Oryctolagus cuniculus: one gene and its partners. The protein of the gene in region 1 interacts with the protein of each later gene in a pairwise test. Links are inferred from orthologs where the notes say so. Each region holds a gene or a part of one and is shown on either strand. Other genes may lie near its edges.

Evidence for each region.
Region 2: the proteins of CLEC7A (region 1) and BNIP3 interact in binary tests that used the Homo sapiens proteins (3 or more experiments, as listed by UniProt). The two-hybrid records come from large-scale screens. The link is inferred for Oryctolagus cuniculus from reciprocal best matches to the Homo sapiens genes CLEC7A and BNIP3.
Region 3: the proteins of CLEC7A (region 1) and BNIP3L interact in binary tests that used the Homo sapiens proteins (3 or more experiments, as listed by UniProt). The two-hybrid records come from large-scale screens. The link is inferred for Oryctolagus cuniculus from reciprocal best matches to the Homo sapiens genes CLEC7A and BNIP3L.
Region 4: the proteins of CLEC7A (region 1) and TMEM79 interact in binary tests that used the Homo sapiens proteins (3 or more experiments, as listed by UniProt). The two-hybrid records come from large-scale screens. The link is inferred for Oryctolagus cuniculus from reciprocal best matches to the Homo sapiens genes CLEC7A and TMEM79.

The regions. Positions count from the first base shown.
Region 1 is NC_091440.1:106,848,175-106,852,339, forward strand, and holds the start of CLEC7A (C-type lectin domain family 7 member A), read right to left. Parts: upstream 2,842-4,165; 5' UTR 2,717-2,841; coding exon 2,614-2,716; intron 39-2,613; coding exon 1-38.
Region 2 is NC_091446.1:1,003,637-1,007,738, forward strand, and holds the start of BNIP3 (BCL2/adenovirus E1B 19 kDa protein-interacting protein 3), read left to right. Parts: upstream 1-1,283; 5' UTR 1,284-1,450; coding exon 1,451-1,496; intron 1,497-4,102. UniProt on the Homo sapiens protein: Apoptosis-inducing protein that can overcome BCL2 suppression. May play a role in repartitioning calcium between the two major intracellular calcium stores in association with BCL2.
Region 3 is NC_091433.1:47,857,578-47,861,766, reverse strand, and holds the start of BNIP3L (BCL2/adenovirus E1B 19 kDa protein-interacting protein 3-like), read left to right. Parts: upstream 1-1,386; 5' UTR 1,387-1,542; coding exon 1,543-1,642; intron 1,643-4,189.
Region 4 is NC_091438.1:42,426,543-42,430,654, reverse strand, and holds the start of TMEM79 (transmembrane protein 79), read left to right. Parts: upstream 1-1,289; 5' UTR 1,290-1,428; intron 1,429-2,178; 5' UTR 2,179-2,221; coding exon 2,222-2,978; intron 2,979-3,171; coding exon 3,172-3,385; intron 3,386-4,112.

The DNA of each region.
Region 1 (4,165 bases):
AGCCACGAGACGCCAAGGAGGAGACACAGTACGGGTTCCTGAAGAGCCACCAGGAGCAGAAATTGAATGGAGACCAGGATGAGGGATCGTGGAGAACTTGAATTCCATTGTCATTACAATCTGGCAAATTCTAAAGTGAATCATTCATCATTGGTGCCTGGATAACCTCGCCATTCAGAATTAATGGAGTTTTCCCCTACTCTTAGGATACCTCTTCTTTGGCTGCTGTAGCTGTAGCTTCAGCATAGGCAGAACAGCTTACACTCCTGGTCTCAGAACCACGTGAACATTCTTGAGTCCTGACACTCCTACGGTCTCTGATACCCCCCTTCATTTTTGGAGGAGACATCTTAAAGTAGAAGAAATAGCATTGGTTACTAAGGATAACCTCCCCTCTTGACTTATTCGGTGCATGACTTTGGTCAAGTTACTTCCTCTGTTTTTGTTTTTCATTTTTCTTTGTGACACTGGGGTTCTAATACCTCCAAGGATTATTGTGGGAATTAAGTGAACTAACACGAAAAAGCATCCCACTTAGAGATGACCAGCACATTATAGGTCACTCACTGTCCACTGATATGCATAAACACACACATACCTGGATACCACCTCCCTCAACCAACTTTTCTTTCTGGAAACCCCAGCAGGTTGCCCAAGAAAAAATTGCTTAATTGGTGGTAAGAGGAAAACAATTATGCAATGTGAAGAAGAAAGCAGAAGTCTCATTCTGATGTCAAGACATGTGAATGTTTCCCTTGAAGACAACAGGGAACTGATGTTGTATTAACATTTCCACAGCAAGAGTATATCTCTGCCTTTCACTGAGAATAAACAGGAAGAGCATTTCACGGAATTGTCAAGGAGAATCATAGAGGAGACAAAAATCACTCGTTTGATAAAGAGATCCCTGGTTCCTTTCTCCATATTTCATTCCATTTACATTTTAAGTCTCATATCCAGTTAATGATGACTTTTTGTCTAATATGTTTCCTTCACCAGAATGCCATGAACTCCCTTTAAAAAGAAACATGCAAACCAATCTCTTACCACAAAAGGCATGTCAGATTCAGACTTTTAAACCCCATGACTGGAGTGGATGTTTGGCATAGTGAGTAAGTTACAGCTTGGGAAAACCTTATCCCACATTAGAGTGTCTGAGTTCAAGACCTGGCTCTGCCTTCAGTTCCAGCTTCCCACAAATACACACCCTAGGAAGCAGCAGGTGACGGCTCAAGTGCTTGGGTTCTTGCCACTCATGTGGGAGGCTTGGTTTGAGTTCTGATCTCCTGGCTTTGGCCTGACCCAGCTTTGGCTATTGTAGGCATTTTTGGAGTAAGCCTGCAGAAGGGAGACCCGTTTCTGTCTCTGTCTCTCTCTGGCTTTCAAATAAATTTAAAAAATTTTAAAAAGCAGGAAAAAGAAATAAACTCTTTGACTTCTGATTTCCATTTGGTCTCTACAAGAAGATTATCATTTTACTGTTTTTGTCATCTGTCTCCCATCTTTTCATTCTTTTTCTAAAGAAGTTTTTTTTAAAAATTTATTTATTTTATTTATTGTAGAGGCAGAGAAACCATCTGCTGGTTCATTCCCCAAATGCACTTAACGGCCAGAGCTGGGCCAGGCTGAAGCTGGGATGTGGAAATTCAATCTGGGTCTCCGTCATGGGCGATGGGGACCCCGCTCCTGGAGTCTTACTTGCTGCCTTCTGGTGTGCACACCAGCAGGAAGCTGGTATCAGGAGCAGAGCTGAGGTCCAAATCCCAGCGTCTTAGACTCTAGGAATGTGGGCACCCTGATATCTTAAACAGTAGGCCAAATGCCTACTCTTATCATTCTTCTCTTTCTTGTCTTTCCTGATGTTGATACACACAAGTTTCCTTGACCTCCAGTCTATGATCTATTCCCTTCTATCAAACAAGCAACAAGTCACCCTTATTGAAACCCCATTCATGGGGTCAGCACTGTGCCGTAGCTGGTAACACTGCCACTTGCAGTGCCGGCATCCCATATAGCACCAGTTCGAGTCTTGGCTGCTCTGCTTCTGATCCAGCTCTCTGTTACGGCCTGGGAAAACAGCAGAAACTGGCCCAAAGCCTTGGGCCCCTGCACCCATGTGGGAGTCCTGGAAGAAGCTTCCGGTTCCTGGCTCCTGCCTTCAGATAGGTGCAGCTCCAGCCATTGCAACCATTTAGGGAGTGAATCAGCAGATGAAAGACTTCTCTCTCTCTACCTACTTCTGTCTCTCTGTAACTCTGCCTTTCAAGTAAATAAATCAATCTTAAAAAACAGATGCAAAAACAATATACAAAAACAAAAGAAGAAATCCCTTCATACTTATTGCTAACTCTTCAGAGAGGAAGTGGCAATTTCTATAAAACAGAGAAACTGTATTTTCTGCCATCATACATAATTAATTTAAGTACTAACAATTAGTTACTCAATAGCTTAGGCTTAACAATTAGTTAATAGTAAAGGCTTAGTACAAATCCAAGTTATCTTCTGTAATTTCTAAAAATCTTTAAGTAAATCTAACAAGTTGTATCTACAATTTTTTCCACTTAAGTATTTAATTGTGAATGAGAGTGCTGAAGTCAGAAAAAAAAATAATACCTTTCTCTGATAACACACGTGTTCTGGTGGTGACTCGAGAGTTGAAGACTAATTGAGTATATCCATCTTCATCTACATTTTCTAAACCAGAATGAAACTCCATCGTTCTATAGAGTCCCAGGATAGACGCAGCATTTGAGAGCGCCTTTCCTTCTCCTAGGTTGACTGCCTGTGGACAAAAGAGGATCTAAGAGTTGAATCATGTGGGATAGGCATGTTGACTGAGCTTTAAGAAGCTGAGCTTAAGCAGCCCAACGACGACAGATACCCAAAAGCAGGAAATGAAAACTGTGCTGTGGTAATTTCCTATCCTTACCTTTAGATCCTGTTTCTGAGACTGTAGACTCTTAAGAAAATCAAAAGGCTGAAAAGTACACAGATTGAAGTTTCAGATCATATACAGGAAAAAGGCGTGGATTAATGTCTTATGGTGCCTTTGTTACTTGCACAACTGAATTTGACATCATTAATTGATGTAGCCTATTAAAGCATTTGGGTGCCTTGAGTTTATCCCCACTTTGCTCTAACTATTTTTTCCATGCACTTATTCATGTATTTGTTCATTCAGTAAATATTTATTGAATGCTCAACTTTCCACTGAAAGGAGCTAAGGTTGTAAAGAAAATGATAGCTGCGAAAAAGCTCACCAGAAACTTATGGATTGCTATTTGAAGGATTCCACAAGGAAGTGTATAGTTGGAGCAATACTGAGAGGGCAAAGTTCTCCTCTGAATTTGTCAGGGATTAATAAAACAAAGTAGCGATTATTTGTACCCAAGTGCTGTGAGTTAGCTGCTACTCTATACTAGTTTTCTCACTCAATCTCAGTTCTCCAACAAGTCTATGTGGTAGGTATTATTTCTATTTTTAGATAAAGACAATAAGACATTTAAAGCTTATTCCCAGGGCCAGCATGTGACATATTGCTTGAGACACAGATATCCATATCAGAGCAACTGATTGAAGTCCTAGCTGCTGTGCTTCCAATCCAGCTCCCTGCTAATGTGCCTGGGAAAGCATCCAACTGTGTTTAGGCCCCTGCCACCCATGGGGGAGATCTAACTGGAGTTCCTGGCTCCTGGCTTTGGCTTGGTCCAACTCTGGCTGTTGCAGCGATTCTGGGGGAGTGAACCAGAGGATGGAAGATCTCTGTTTCTCTCTATCACCATTTCCCTTTCTGTCACTGTGCCTTTCAAGTAAGTATAAATAAATAAACCTTAAAGAAAACTTAGTCCCCTTTTCAGTTTTGAGAAGCTAGTTAAAACATTGGAGCAAGGAATAGTGCTATGGGGCCCTGGCTGCTGCTCCCAAGCATGTCCAGTCCTCTGAGGAGAGGAAGGCTTTGTCATTCCTCTAAAAGAGGCAAGAGAATAGGATGTGAATTTGTCTCCCTGACTGAGGGTTGGGAGAAAGTTTCAGGGGCCAGGTAGAAGAAAGCTGGAACACGGACATGCAGGCCAGACAAGCTTTGATTGGAGAGGCTGGATTCAGGCTAGCATGATCAGATGAACTTTTAATTCTAGATTTCCACGTTGAAGGAACTCTCGTGTCT
Region 2 (4,102 bases), on another chromosome or scaffold:
GGGGCCTGCGTGGAGCTCCTGGCTCCTCTGCCACCCCGGTGGGGGCCTGCGTGGAGCTCCTGGGCCTGTGCCACTGTGGTGGGGGCCTGTGTCACCGCGGTGGGGGCCTGCGTGGAGCTCCTGGGCCTGTGCCACTGTGGTGGGGGCCTGTGTCACCGCGGTGGGGGCCTGCGTGGAGCTCCTGGCTCCTCTGCCACCCCGGTGGGGGCCTGCGTGGAGCTCCTGGGCCTGTGCCACTGTGGTGGGGGCCTGTGCCACCGTGGTGGGGGCCTCTGCCACCGCGGTGGGGGCCTGCGTGGAGCTCCTGGGCCTGTGCCACTGTGGTGGGGGCCTGTGTCACCGCGGTGGGGGCCTGCGTGGAGCTCCTGGCTCCTCTGCCACCCCGGTGGGGGCCTGCGTGGAGCTCCTGGGCCTGTGCCACTGTGGTGGGGGCCTGTGCCACCGTGGTGGGGGCCTCTGCCACCGCGGTGGGGGCCTGCGTGGAGCTCCTGGGCCTGTGCCACTGTGGTGGGGGCCTGTGTCACCGCGGTGGGGGCCTGCGTGGAGCTCCTGGCTCCCGGCTTCGGCCCGGGGCCAGCTCTGGCTGCGCGGCATTTGGTGAGTGACCCAGCACAGATCTTTCTCCAGCTCTGTGCCTTGCAGATGAGTCGGAAATGGACAACCACATCACAAGAGCGAGTGTGGAGGTAGTGCGTCGAGCTACGTCCCTGCCCAGGCAGAGGCGGCCGCGGGCCTGCCCATCGCCCACGTCCTACAGGGAACTTCATGGGGCCCGGGTGAGGCTGCACCTCCTGGCCGCCGGTTCGAGTCCCGGCTGCTCCATTTCACGGAAGGATCCGCGGCACTCCTCACTTACTAGAGATTCGAGGGTCTCCCGACGGCAGGCAGGCCGCCCTGGGGCTCCCGACCGCGTCCACCCGGAGGCCGCCCTGCTCACGGCGGTCGCCCGGCCAAACCCAGGCCCTTAGGGCACGAACACGGGGCGCCACACGACCTTCCACGCCAGCCGGAGGGCTGCGTCCTGCCCGCCCGGGGCCCCGGCAGAGCCTACGCTCGGAGAGGGCGCGCGGACGCGGACCGGGGCCACCCCGCGCTGACGCAGCCCGCTGACCCGCGCGGGCCGCTCGGACAGCCCCGGGGGCGGAGCCCCGGCCCCGCCCCCGCCCGCGCCGCAGCCCCGCCCAGCGCCGTCCTGGGCCCGCCCCGCGCACGCGCCGCACGTGCCGCACGCGCCACGGGCCCCCGCGCACGCGCAGCGCAGGCCCCGCCCCGCGGCCCGGGGGCGCCGCCGCAGGGCCCGCCCAGTGCGTCTTGGCCGGCGGGGCGCCCGGGCCGCCTCACTCGCGCAGCCGCGGCTCGGCGCGCTGGCCTGGCCGTGCGGGCCCTCGGCGCTCCGGCCTCGACCGTCGGAACGCACCCACAGCCCGGCCGCGCTGCCGGCCCCGGCGCCATGGCTCAGAGCGGGGCCCCTGGGCTGCAGGAGGAGAACCTTCAGGGTGAGGCCTGGGGAGGCGGCGGGGGCGGCGCGGGGAGGCCCTCGCGGCGGGGCCGGGCGGGTCGGACGGGACGGAGAAGCCTGCGTTCCGCGGCGCGGGACCGCCTGGAGTCGCGCCCTGGACCCCCGGCCCCGGCTCGGCGGAGTGGGGTTTCGGGGTCTCTAACGTCCGTGCCCGGGAGGCTTTCCTGGGGGAGGGGCGCGGGTCCGCGGCGGCTCGCTTGGTGCCCACGGTGCAGGTCGTCCGTGCGCTACAGAGACCCCACGGTGCAGGTCGTCCGTGCGCTACAGAGACGCCCACGCGGGGAGGGCGGCGGCCTGCGCGTGGGTCCGCGGGGCGCGGGCCCGACCTCTGCGGCCTGCGAGGGGCGGCCGCCGCGCAGGGGGAGCGCGGGAGGAGCGCACGGAGGCGGATGCCGTCTGCTCGCCGCTCCGCCGCTGGAGAGCCGGGCGGCCGGGGTTGAGAGCGCTGGGGACGGGGCGATGGGCCCCGCAGCGCCCGGGTCTCCTGGTTCTCGAGCCCTGCTTTGGAACGGCCCCGTTTTGAGCGCCGTAACGCAGCGATTTCGAAAACTGCAGTGACTGACAGTGCCGCCGTGACGTAGCCCGGGGTTTCGGTGCAAAGCGAGACCCCAGGGGTGCGCCGTGGCCGCCCCGCCCTGGCCTCTGGCTCTCCCGTGCCCTGCGCACACCGGCCTGCTCGGTCCCGGCCAGCGTCCGATGGCGCTTTCTCAGTGTCCGAGAGAGGACGGCTGCACCGGGGCAAACTCACTGCGGATCCTGCGGGCCTGGGCGTACGTGCGGCCGGGCACTCGCTCGCTGCCCAGCCCAGCGCCGTCACGTGGGGCCTCGCAGCTGCCCAGGATATGTAATCCCTGCCTGCCTGCGAGGTTTGATCGCCTCTTGTTTACCTCTGGCCCGCGGGCAGGCCCAGCGCCGGCCCAGGCGGCCCTCCCTGGGCCCGGGCAGCAGGCTCGGGAGCCCTGGTCCCTGCTGCCCGCGCTCCGGGCGCCCGCCCTGCCTTTCCTGTGCTCTCGGTGTTCTGCGGGGCGGGGGGGGGGAGGAGGAAGTCGCATTTGTCCTGGGGGGGGGACGCGTCGGGTCCATTGCCCGGGGGTCTCAGGCAGCCGGGTTCTGGTCTCTACATCGCAGGAAGGTTCAGAGGTGAAGTGGGAAACAAGGCTGCACGGTGGGTGGGGGGACTCGGGAGCGCCGGCGGGGAGCTTGAGCCACGTGACCGGGGCGCTCGTAGAAGCCCGCAGCCTGAGTTCTTACGTCCAGTCGTGCCAATCCGGTCTCTTTCCTCTCCCCGCTAATGGGCTTTTGAATGGAAGAACAGGACTTCTGCAGCCCACCCTCGGGGAGAAGCACTGTGGGGCCTGGGGCTCCGGTCCCTTCCAGGCTCACCAGGCTCAGCAGCTCCCTTGCGTCAGGCTTCCCGGGGAAGTGCACACACACCCCCCCCCCCCATCCCTCTGCAGCCCCGTCTCCCGTCTCGGAGCCCCCGGCTGTGCACCGTCTCCGTGGGGCTTCTGGGTGTGCAGTGGGTGGCACAGGGATTCTGAACTCGGGGACAGGCCCTGGGGCGACTGTCCCATCCCAGACGCCACGTGAGGTTCGGGGGCTGGCTGTGGCCACGGAACCAGCACCGGGGGACGGGGGCCTACAGGGTTACCCCGGCTCTGACAGGGCAGTGGGGTGGAGGTCCGACGAAGCTTGCTATTTTAACAAAATGGAAGAATAAGTGGAACCTAAGAAGTGGCTTCAGAACTCTGAAGAGCTGGGTCGTATTGAGTCTGTGGTTGAGGGGGTTTACATCCGCCTGCTGTGTATCTTGTTAGCAAAGTCAACCAAAAACTAAAAAACAAACCTTGATTTATTTGAAAGGCGGACGACAGACGATCGCTTGCCAAACAGCAGCCTGGGGTGGCTGGCCGGAGCCAGGAGCTCCGTCGGTCTCACGCAGACACAGGGCTCGGGCCGGGCCGTCGGTTGCCGCCTGCCGGGGCAGGAAGCTTGGTTGGGAGCAGGGAGCCAGTACCAGACGTGGGTGCTGAAACCTGCGCCGGGGGGGGGGGGTGCTGCCAGCCCCAACCACGCAAGCCTGGCTAGAGACTTCTAGAATGAGGTCCCTGGGTCCTGCCTTTGCGGTGCTGGGAATACATTGTGGTTACAGTTACCAGGAGACACTGAACTGGATGGCACCAGTGCCCAGCTCCGGAAGCGAGGGGTTAGCGGCGGCCTCTCACTTGCAGGAAGCACCTTCTCAGGGAGTTGCTACAGGTTAATGATAAAACTCCTGTCCCTTAGTAAATCATTTCCTGAAATACAACTTTTGAACCCAAAGTTTTTGTTTTCTGAGTTTGTTTATTTTGAGATTTGGAGACGGAGCTTCCGCCTGCTGCTTCACTGCCCAAATGCTCACCACAGCCGTGGCTGGACCAGGACAAAGCAGGAGAGCGGACTCGTCCAGGTCTCCCTGCCGGGCGGAGGCACTCCCCTGCCTGCTGGGCTGTGGCCGCGGCCGGAAGCAGCCAAGACTCCACTCTGATGGATGGGGCGTCCAAGCAGCGCCGCAGCCGCGTGCTGCACGCCCGCGCGGGGTGA
Region 3 (4,189 bases), on another chromosome or scaffold:
AGCTGCTCTGGCTTCCAAAACAGCTCCCTGCTAATATGCTTGAGAAAGGAGCTGAGGATGGCCCAACTATAAAATACTTGGCTCTTGTCTTAGGCCTGGTGCAGACCTGGCCATTGAGGCCATCTGGGGAGTGAACTAACAGAAGAAAGATTTCTCTCTCTCTCTCTCTCACTCGCTCACTCTATCTCCCCTTTTCCCCCTTCTCTGTCACTCCGCCTTCCAAAGAAACAAATAAATCTATATAAAAATTTATTTGCAATAGGATTTGACCTACTAATCCTTTAAAAAATGTTTAAGTACAAAGTTTTTCAAATAAATGAAAACACTGGAAGAAGAGTTTAATATTCATGTATTACCTAGCTTCAGTAATCGCCAACACATGGTCAATATTTGGCAAGCCCATTTTTTCAGTTCATCTGAAGGGTAATCAGTCATTTTCAAAAGACAAATGAAGAGAGGCTCTCTAGTAACCAGCCCTGAGACAGACTTGTTTCTGTGGGCATTTAGACCATGCAATTTCAAATCAGGGTTGAAGGGAGGACTTAAAAATCAGTAAATATTGTTGGGTCAATTGGTTACAAAATTGGGAAGAATTGAAGTTAAATAACATGTGAAAATTGAATTTTAGGTGGACTGGGGCCTAAATATAAAATTAAGGCTATAAGGGAATTAGAAAAAGTTACAAGGGCAGGAGGAGTGGATTCCTAATCTTGGTTTGAGCCAGGGGGACATGACATGAAAACAATACAGGAGCAATTAAAACATCTGCAGAGCGAAGCAACACGAAAGACAAGTCACAAATGCCACCGCAGGCAACAGGTCAGCCAGCCCAAGGACACCAGGGGACCGGGCCTCTGGAGACAAGAGAGCGAAGTAGACGGGCTGTTTAGGAACAAAGGAATTTAGTGCCACCCACATACCAGACACGTGGCTTCCCACGTGGTGGCCCGGAAACAGCCGCGTGGGGAATGCGGCGATTATTTTCTTCACTGTGTTTTCCTGAAGGGATTTTTTTTAACCATGATGGAGTGTTACGAATCCTGTAATAACCAAAAGATAGCCCTATATTGTGCCCTGCTTGGAATGCTGATGTCCCATCAGGCTTTCGGCTTCCTGTGCCGCAGTGAGTCCTTACAGGTATTTTAAAAATTAAATGCTCGGAGACTGACAGAAACAACGAGCGCGGTGTAGGTGTGGGAGGAGTTCTGCTCGCGAAGACACCTGCATTGCACTGCTCGCCCATCCTCTCTCCCAGTGCCATCTGCATCACTCACTCCAAATTACAAGAAGGAATTCAACCCTCCCGCGCGTCAGCGTGACTCCCGCGCCCGCACGTCCGGGCCCGCACAGGAACGCCCCTGCCCCGCCCAGCCCCGCCGCTTGTTGTGTTGTCATCACGTGGCTTGGGCGGACCCTGACGTCAGCTACAGGGGAGGGACTGCGCAGGCGCAGAAAAGGGGGCGGGGGACTCAGCTTGTTGTGTTGCTGCCCGAGAACCGGAGACGGTCCTGGTGCGGCCGCAGCTCTTCCAGACGCCCGACCATGTCGTCTCATTTAGTCGAGCCGCCGCCGCCCCTGCACAACAACAACAACAACTGCGAGGACGGTGACCAGCATCTGCCCCCACCGACCGGCCTCAACAGTGAGTGCTCGCCGACGGGTTCGCTGAAGGGGATGGGGGAGGAGGAGCTGCTCCGGCCGCCGCCACCAGCGCCGCGCGGGGGGCGGGAGGAGAAGGCAGCCCATTGGTCAAGCCCGAGGATGTTCTGCTGACTGACAGCTCCCGTCACCTGTCAGGAGGAGGCGCTTCAGTCTTCCTCTTGGCTAGTCTCCGCTCCCTCCTGGGGTCTTGGACTGGGTGCCAATTGTGGTCGCTCTCCGGGAGGGGAGGAGGGTGGGGAGAAAAGGGGATCGCGCGCCAGACTGCCCCTGGGGCAGGGCAGATCCCACCTGTAGGCCCCTGAAGCAGAGCCAATCGGGGCAGGGAGGGGGCGGGCCCTGGGGAGCGGGGCGGAAAGGTGGGCGGAGCGGGCCGCGAAGGGGACGTGGGCAGGGATGGGGACGTGCGGCGGGGACGCCGGGGGATGGACGCGCGGCGCGGGAGGGCAGGGGAGGGGCGGCCGAGGACGTGTCGGGGAGCAGGTGTGCCGTGGGGCCCCTGCCGAGCGTGCCCCGCGGGCCGGGCTTGCCCGGGCGGGGCCCGGCAGCCCTCGGTTGCGATCCTTTGTTGCCACATGCCGGTCGGGGAAACCCATTTGGCAATTTCGTGGTGACTCGAATCACGTGTGGGGGTGCACAGCCTGTGCCTTTCATTTCTTTTTCTTTGCTGCTGCTTTGTGAGATTTGCAAAGTTGCTCAAGTCTTTTTCAACGATGCAGTAGCGTGCACAGTAAACCTGTTTTAAGATGAGCCCCACTTCCAGCCCACGCGGAGTCTGGGGCGATGGGTATTCACACATGGGATTTAAAACACCCATCACAGGCACACGGGTGGTTGACAGTGGCAGGGTGGCGCTAGGACGGACCCCGGGTACTTCTGACAGCCTGGGGCTCAGACATCTTGCCAGTGGTGGTGAGAGCTCCGAGGTTCTTGCCTAACCTTTTTCTGTAATTTGCTCTTAGGAAAGAGGTGGTGGAGGCAGCCAGCATATGGCCAGACCGAGTCGCTTAACAACCATTTGGATGCTTAAAGGTCACACCGTCTCTTTCCTAAGAGGAAAGCGCTCCCAGCGTGGCCAGAACGTTATTTTAGGGAAGAGAGTCCCTGTCCCCTGAAGAGTGGGCATGAAAGCTGGGTATTTTTAGATGCTTTCTCTGCCTGTGGCAGGTGGTCGGTCGTTGATGGACTAATTCTCAGTGTTGACTGTTTTTAAACTTGTAAGTGTGTATGGAATGTTCTAGAATGTAAGATCTCTGCTGTTTCCCCTGCAGTAAGTTAGGAGTAGTGGAAGTCTTTAGATCTTACTTGTTGGTCACGTTTTGGCATACATGCTTGGAAGCGTGGATCTGGGGATAGAAACGGGGTTTAGAGTGAGGGGGCTCGTTCAGGTTGACAGCTGGCCGGACCTAGAGCTGAGGACCCCCCTTCAGCTCCTCGGGTGCCCCATCCGGGACCTTCCCTGGGGTCCCAAGTCCCTGATCACGGGTGCTTCTTACCCTCAGCATGTTTTTCTGTCGAATGTACATCGGTGGCTGCCTATCTTTATAGTATTCTGTTTCTTAATTGTGCTGTTTTCATATGCGTAAGAAATGTGTTTAGTATGTGTACGTGATTTCCCAGAGTCCAAAGGAGTTTTAATGTTCCTGTGACCCTTTACCATAAAGCAAGAGGGAGGGTTGAGCTGTATATGATTGTTTATCTTGGTGTTTGATGTCTGGCCAATCAGTTCCTGCTACGTTTACATTAGCTGTTAGAGAAGTGGAAGAACACCCCGCCTGCAGGTGATACCAGATGTTGCTTTGGGGAATCCACTAGGTAGAAAGTGTTTTATTTGGGGGTAATGTGAGCTTTTTAAGTTACTGCAAAACTTTCAGATAATACCATACTAAATTACTCCTCTCTTGCTTCTTCCTCTGATCCTTTTTTTCTCCCTCGTTACACAACACTGGACTGAACAAAACAAGAAGCCTTATTGATTCCTTCAAGTGATTTTTGGGCATCTGGCAAAACAACTTATTCAGACATTTAATACTATGAATTGCTGATAAGTTGGAGTACTCTGTTGGGTAAAGCACGACTGTGAAAACAGGAGATGAAACTCATCGTGATTATCTCTGGTTAGGATTTTATCTTTGGTCTAGGGGTCAAAGCAGAGTTTAATGGCAATTTATTGAAATACTTAAATAGTAAAGCCTTTCTCTGAAAGGTTTTTTTTTTTTTAATTTATCATTCATTCTAGGGCAACTGTGTTTTCATAACAAATTAGGGCACAAATATCCAAACTCTTTCTCAAGATAAAAAAATATTTTCTGGTTCTTAGTTTTATGCTTTAAAAAAAACTATCATGTTCCTTAAGAATATCTGAATAAAAGTTTGTCATAAAACTCAGTATAAGGAAAATCATAGAAGCAGTGTAGTTCTTGTGGTTTAATGTGGGAATTACAACTTTTTTAAAAAAATTAATTTATTTGAAATGGAGAGAGACAGACATACCCATCTTCTGGTTATTCCTCAAATGCCTGCAACAGCA
Region 4 (4,112 bases), on another chromosome or scaffold:
GCCTTGAGGGGTAAGATCTTGTCCTAGAACATAGAACACAGGATAGGTTGGAGGAATTGCTCTGGAAGCCCCCAAACTGGGTCTGCTTACCCGACACTCAGCAAGCCAATTACTGACACCAGGTGGTGGAGGACAGGGCGTGTTTGGTGTAAAGTGCAGATTAAGGAGCAGGGCAGCTACCACTTCATTCCCAGACTCCTCGGGGGCTGAGGGTAAAGGTTCTGCAAGACTGAAGTTGGGGTTAAAGAGGTGCATGTTGGGCTTGTGTGCAAGTCCCTGGTCGGTCCTCAGTGCTCGTGGCTCTCCTTTGATTGGTTAGCGATGCCACCTTCTCTTGGGAATTCCAGTCACTCAGGTGGTAGTTACTTCTTGCTTGGAGCCAGGGTTCCTAGGAAAACTCTCAAGACTGAACACCAAGATGTTATCTGCAGAGGCCATAAATGACCCCATGAGTCTTTTGATCCCGGACCCTGAATTGCTGCACCAATTCAGTGAACTTGATTTGTAATAAGGGCAGTTAGGAAAGGAGCCTGGAAGACCACGGTAGGCAGGCTCTGATGATGCTGACGGCGTGCAGCATCTGCACCAGGGGCACCGCCCAGGGGCTTGGGTTCCGTCTGCTCACACTGGAAAGAGCACCGATGACACTGGGACTATGTTCTCTTAACTTGAAACCTAATCTGAAAAGAAAGGCGTTCTGGTGCCTGTGCACACCGTGCGATGGGAACGTGAACTGCCCTCTCTGTCACGGTGCTCCGGGCTCCAGCCACCAGCCTTCCTTCTGTCCCTGACACAGCCAAGTCCTTCCCACTTGCTGTTCCGCTTGGAACACTCGTCATCCTGATTCTCCAGCTCCTGATTCTCAGCTCCAGTGTCATCTTATCACAGAAGTTTCTTCTGCTAAGAAAGCAGGCTTCCCTATCACCTGTTACCCTTAAAGAAGGGCAGAGCTCTTGACGTCACTTGTCTTCCTGTGTCTGTCTGTACCTCGTACAGAGCCTAGCTAATAACAGGTACTCAATAAATATTCTTTGAGTGAGTAAATGTACACAATCCAACTCTTTTCTGGCTTTACCCAATCCACTCCAAGCACCGTTTGGTGCACAAAGCTACTCTTCTTCCTCTGCTTTCCTGACCAGGGCGCCTCACACATCCCGGGTGCCTGGAACACAAACTCACCTCTATGCGTGGCTGCACCCCCGCCACGCTTGGAAAGGACAACGTCCTCCTCTAAAGCTTTTTCTGTCGGCACATTCAGCAGGGCGGGGCCTGCCCCTTTAATCTGGGCCCCACCTGCTCTGGTCAGACAGGTTTGGAGACACAGGTAAAGGGAGGGAGACAGAGAAATACTTGCAGAGCCAGCACGGAGCTGGGCAGTTGCTTCCTGGACTGGACGCTGGGGACCCTCCACCTCTCTCCCGACAGAAAGTAAGGGGGTGTCATGGCTCCAAATGGCGTGGCGAGGGGAGGGCCCTTGGGGAGGGAAGGAAGGGGAGTCGGCCCCGTCCAGAAGCAGTGAGATAGAGGGTGGCAGTGAGGGGTGGTAGGCAGGAGGGAAGGCGTGGGAATCAGCCATGATTCAACCCCAAAGAACGGACAGACCCGGGGGCTGCCGGCATGAGGTGGGATGGTGAGAAGATTGGAGGCTGGCCACACGTTCAGATCGGAGACGCAAGAACTGGTGCTGGCAACTGCCAGCTCCTTGGGACAGATGGGTCGACAGTGACTCCTACTTGCCGGGGGAGTCCCCAGCAGGGTCTGCAGGGAGAAGGGCAGATGGGCTGGGGGAGGGGCTGTGGTGTTGTCCACAGGAAGATCTCCGGGGAGAAAGAAGCTGTTGGCAAAATTCTAGACACCTTCTCTGCTTCCCATTCCTGAATTATGGTATCCGGGACTCCGGGGGTTTTGGTGGAAGTGGGTAGGAGGCATGGGTGGGGGCTGACCGAGGCCAGAGCTGCTGGAGCCTGTGCCCCGACTCACCCTCGCGTGCCCGGATGCATCTGAAGATGTTGAAAGCGTGCCTCCACTTCAGCTCCCTCCCACCTCCCTCGGTTTCAACACCAACCTCTGAACCATGTTCTCCCCGAGGTCCCAGACGGGGCCAGAGGAGCCCCGGAAGTTCCAGTTCTGTGGCCCCGTCCTAGGGGCCTGAGAGAGCTTTTGCCCTCCTCCCTCCAGGATGACGGGACCTTAGGCTGGACCCCAGAACTGAAGCCCCAGCATGACAGAGCCTGAGACCCTGGCCCTGCTGGAAGTGAAGAGGCCTGAGGCCCCGGAGAAGAGCCCACCCCAGGACCTGGTTCCCAATGGCCGGCAGCCAGAAGGGGGAGGCGGGGCCGAGTCCCCTGAAGGCGGGTCCCTCCAAGTGGAGTCTTCAGCTGGCTCTGCCTCAGCCAGAGAGGCCACCGAGGATGGCCTGGACAGCACAGTGAGCGAGGCCGCCACCTTGCCCTGGGGCACCGACCCCCAGCCCACTGCGCCCTTCCCAGACCCTCCCGGCTGGAGGGACGTAGAGTCAGAGCCGCTCGAGCCCGAGCTGCCCGTCAGGCCTGAGGGGCTGCCTGAGGATGATGCCAACCTGCTGCCTGCCAAGGCTGCCCGGGCCTTCGTGCCCATCGACCTGCAGTGCATCGAGCGGCGGCCCCAGGAGGACCTCATCGTGCGCTGCGAGGCGGGCGAGGGCGAGCGTCGGTCCTTCCTGCCCCCCCGGCTCCCCCACATTGAGCCCCCCGAGTGCAAGTGGGCCGAGGCCGTGGTGAGGCCCCCCAGCCGCTCCTGCGGGAGCTGCGGAAGCTGCGGAGGCCGTGAGGGGCTGAGGGCTGTGGCCTCGGTGGGAGCCGCCCTCGTCCTCTTCCCGTGCCTGCTGTACGGAGCCTACGCCTTCCTGCCCTTCGACGCCCCACGGCTGCCCACCCTGAGCTCCCGCCTGGTCTACACGCTGCGCTGCGGGGTCTTTGCCACCTTCCCCATCGTGCTGGGTGAGTCTGGGGCCCCTGTGACAAGAAAGGGGACACCTGGAGAGTGGACTTCAGAAGGGCAGGGCCTGCTGGGGCTTGGGGAGCAGGTGAGCGCCCCTCGTTCAGCCTGGTCCTGCCAGGGCCTCCCCCACCCCCACTCTGTGTGCCTGCCTCCTGCCTGTTTTGACCCCGTGTGTTTCCTGACCCCACCCAGGGCTCCTGGTGTACGGGCTGAGCCTGTTGTGCTTTTCTGCCCTACGGCCCTTTGGAGAGCCCCGGCGGGAGGTGGAGATCCACCGGAGATACGTGGCCCAGTCGGTCCAGCTCTTCATCCTGTACTTCTTCAACCTGGCCGTGCTCTCCACCTACCTGCCCCAGGACACCCTCAAGCTGCTCCCTCTGCTCACTGGCCTCTTCGCCGTCTCTCGGTAAGTGGGGTGGGGGAAGGAGGGTGATGTGCCAGATCCAGGCACCCGAATATCTGGAGAGCGGCTTTTCTGGGTTCTGGAGTGGCCCGCGTGTGCCCTGGAGAGATGAGTTCACTTACTCTCCTGCACCGGACTCACCTGGGGGCAGGTGGGCAGCTCCTGTGTCTGCCGGGAGGTAGGAAGCTGATTTCAGAGATGCGACATGCCAGCATGGAACTGGAAGGCTTTTAAGTGTCACAGAAATCAGCGGGCCCATTACAGCCACTCCTCTGTAGTACTCTGGTCATGCAGTTTTTTTGGCTTCTAGCTGAATGCCCGCTGTGATAAGTGCTCCATTCTTTATAAAGCGATATGTTTTGGTTTTTGAAATCCCTAATTGTTAGAACTTTTTTTTTTTATAATGTGTTAGAAATTTCTATCCTGACTCTGATCCCCAGGACAAACACTTCTCAGTTCTCCCCACTCTAACACTCTGCTCCCCACCCGCCATCTCTACTTTGCTAAGTGATCACGGTCCCTTCATTGTCCAGGCCCCTCCCTCTGGGCAGGAGACGCTTCCCTGGCCAAGGGTCCTCTTCATACAGACGAGGCCACCTTAGCTCTCACAGCGGAATTATTCTCCTCTCACTCAGTTTGCAGTTGCCTGAAATCCTCGGGGAGTATTTTCATGTGAATTTCTGAACCCAGATGCGCTCTTTCCATTTTTCCCTAATACATTTCCTCCCAT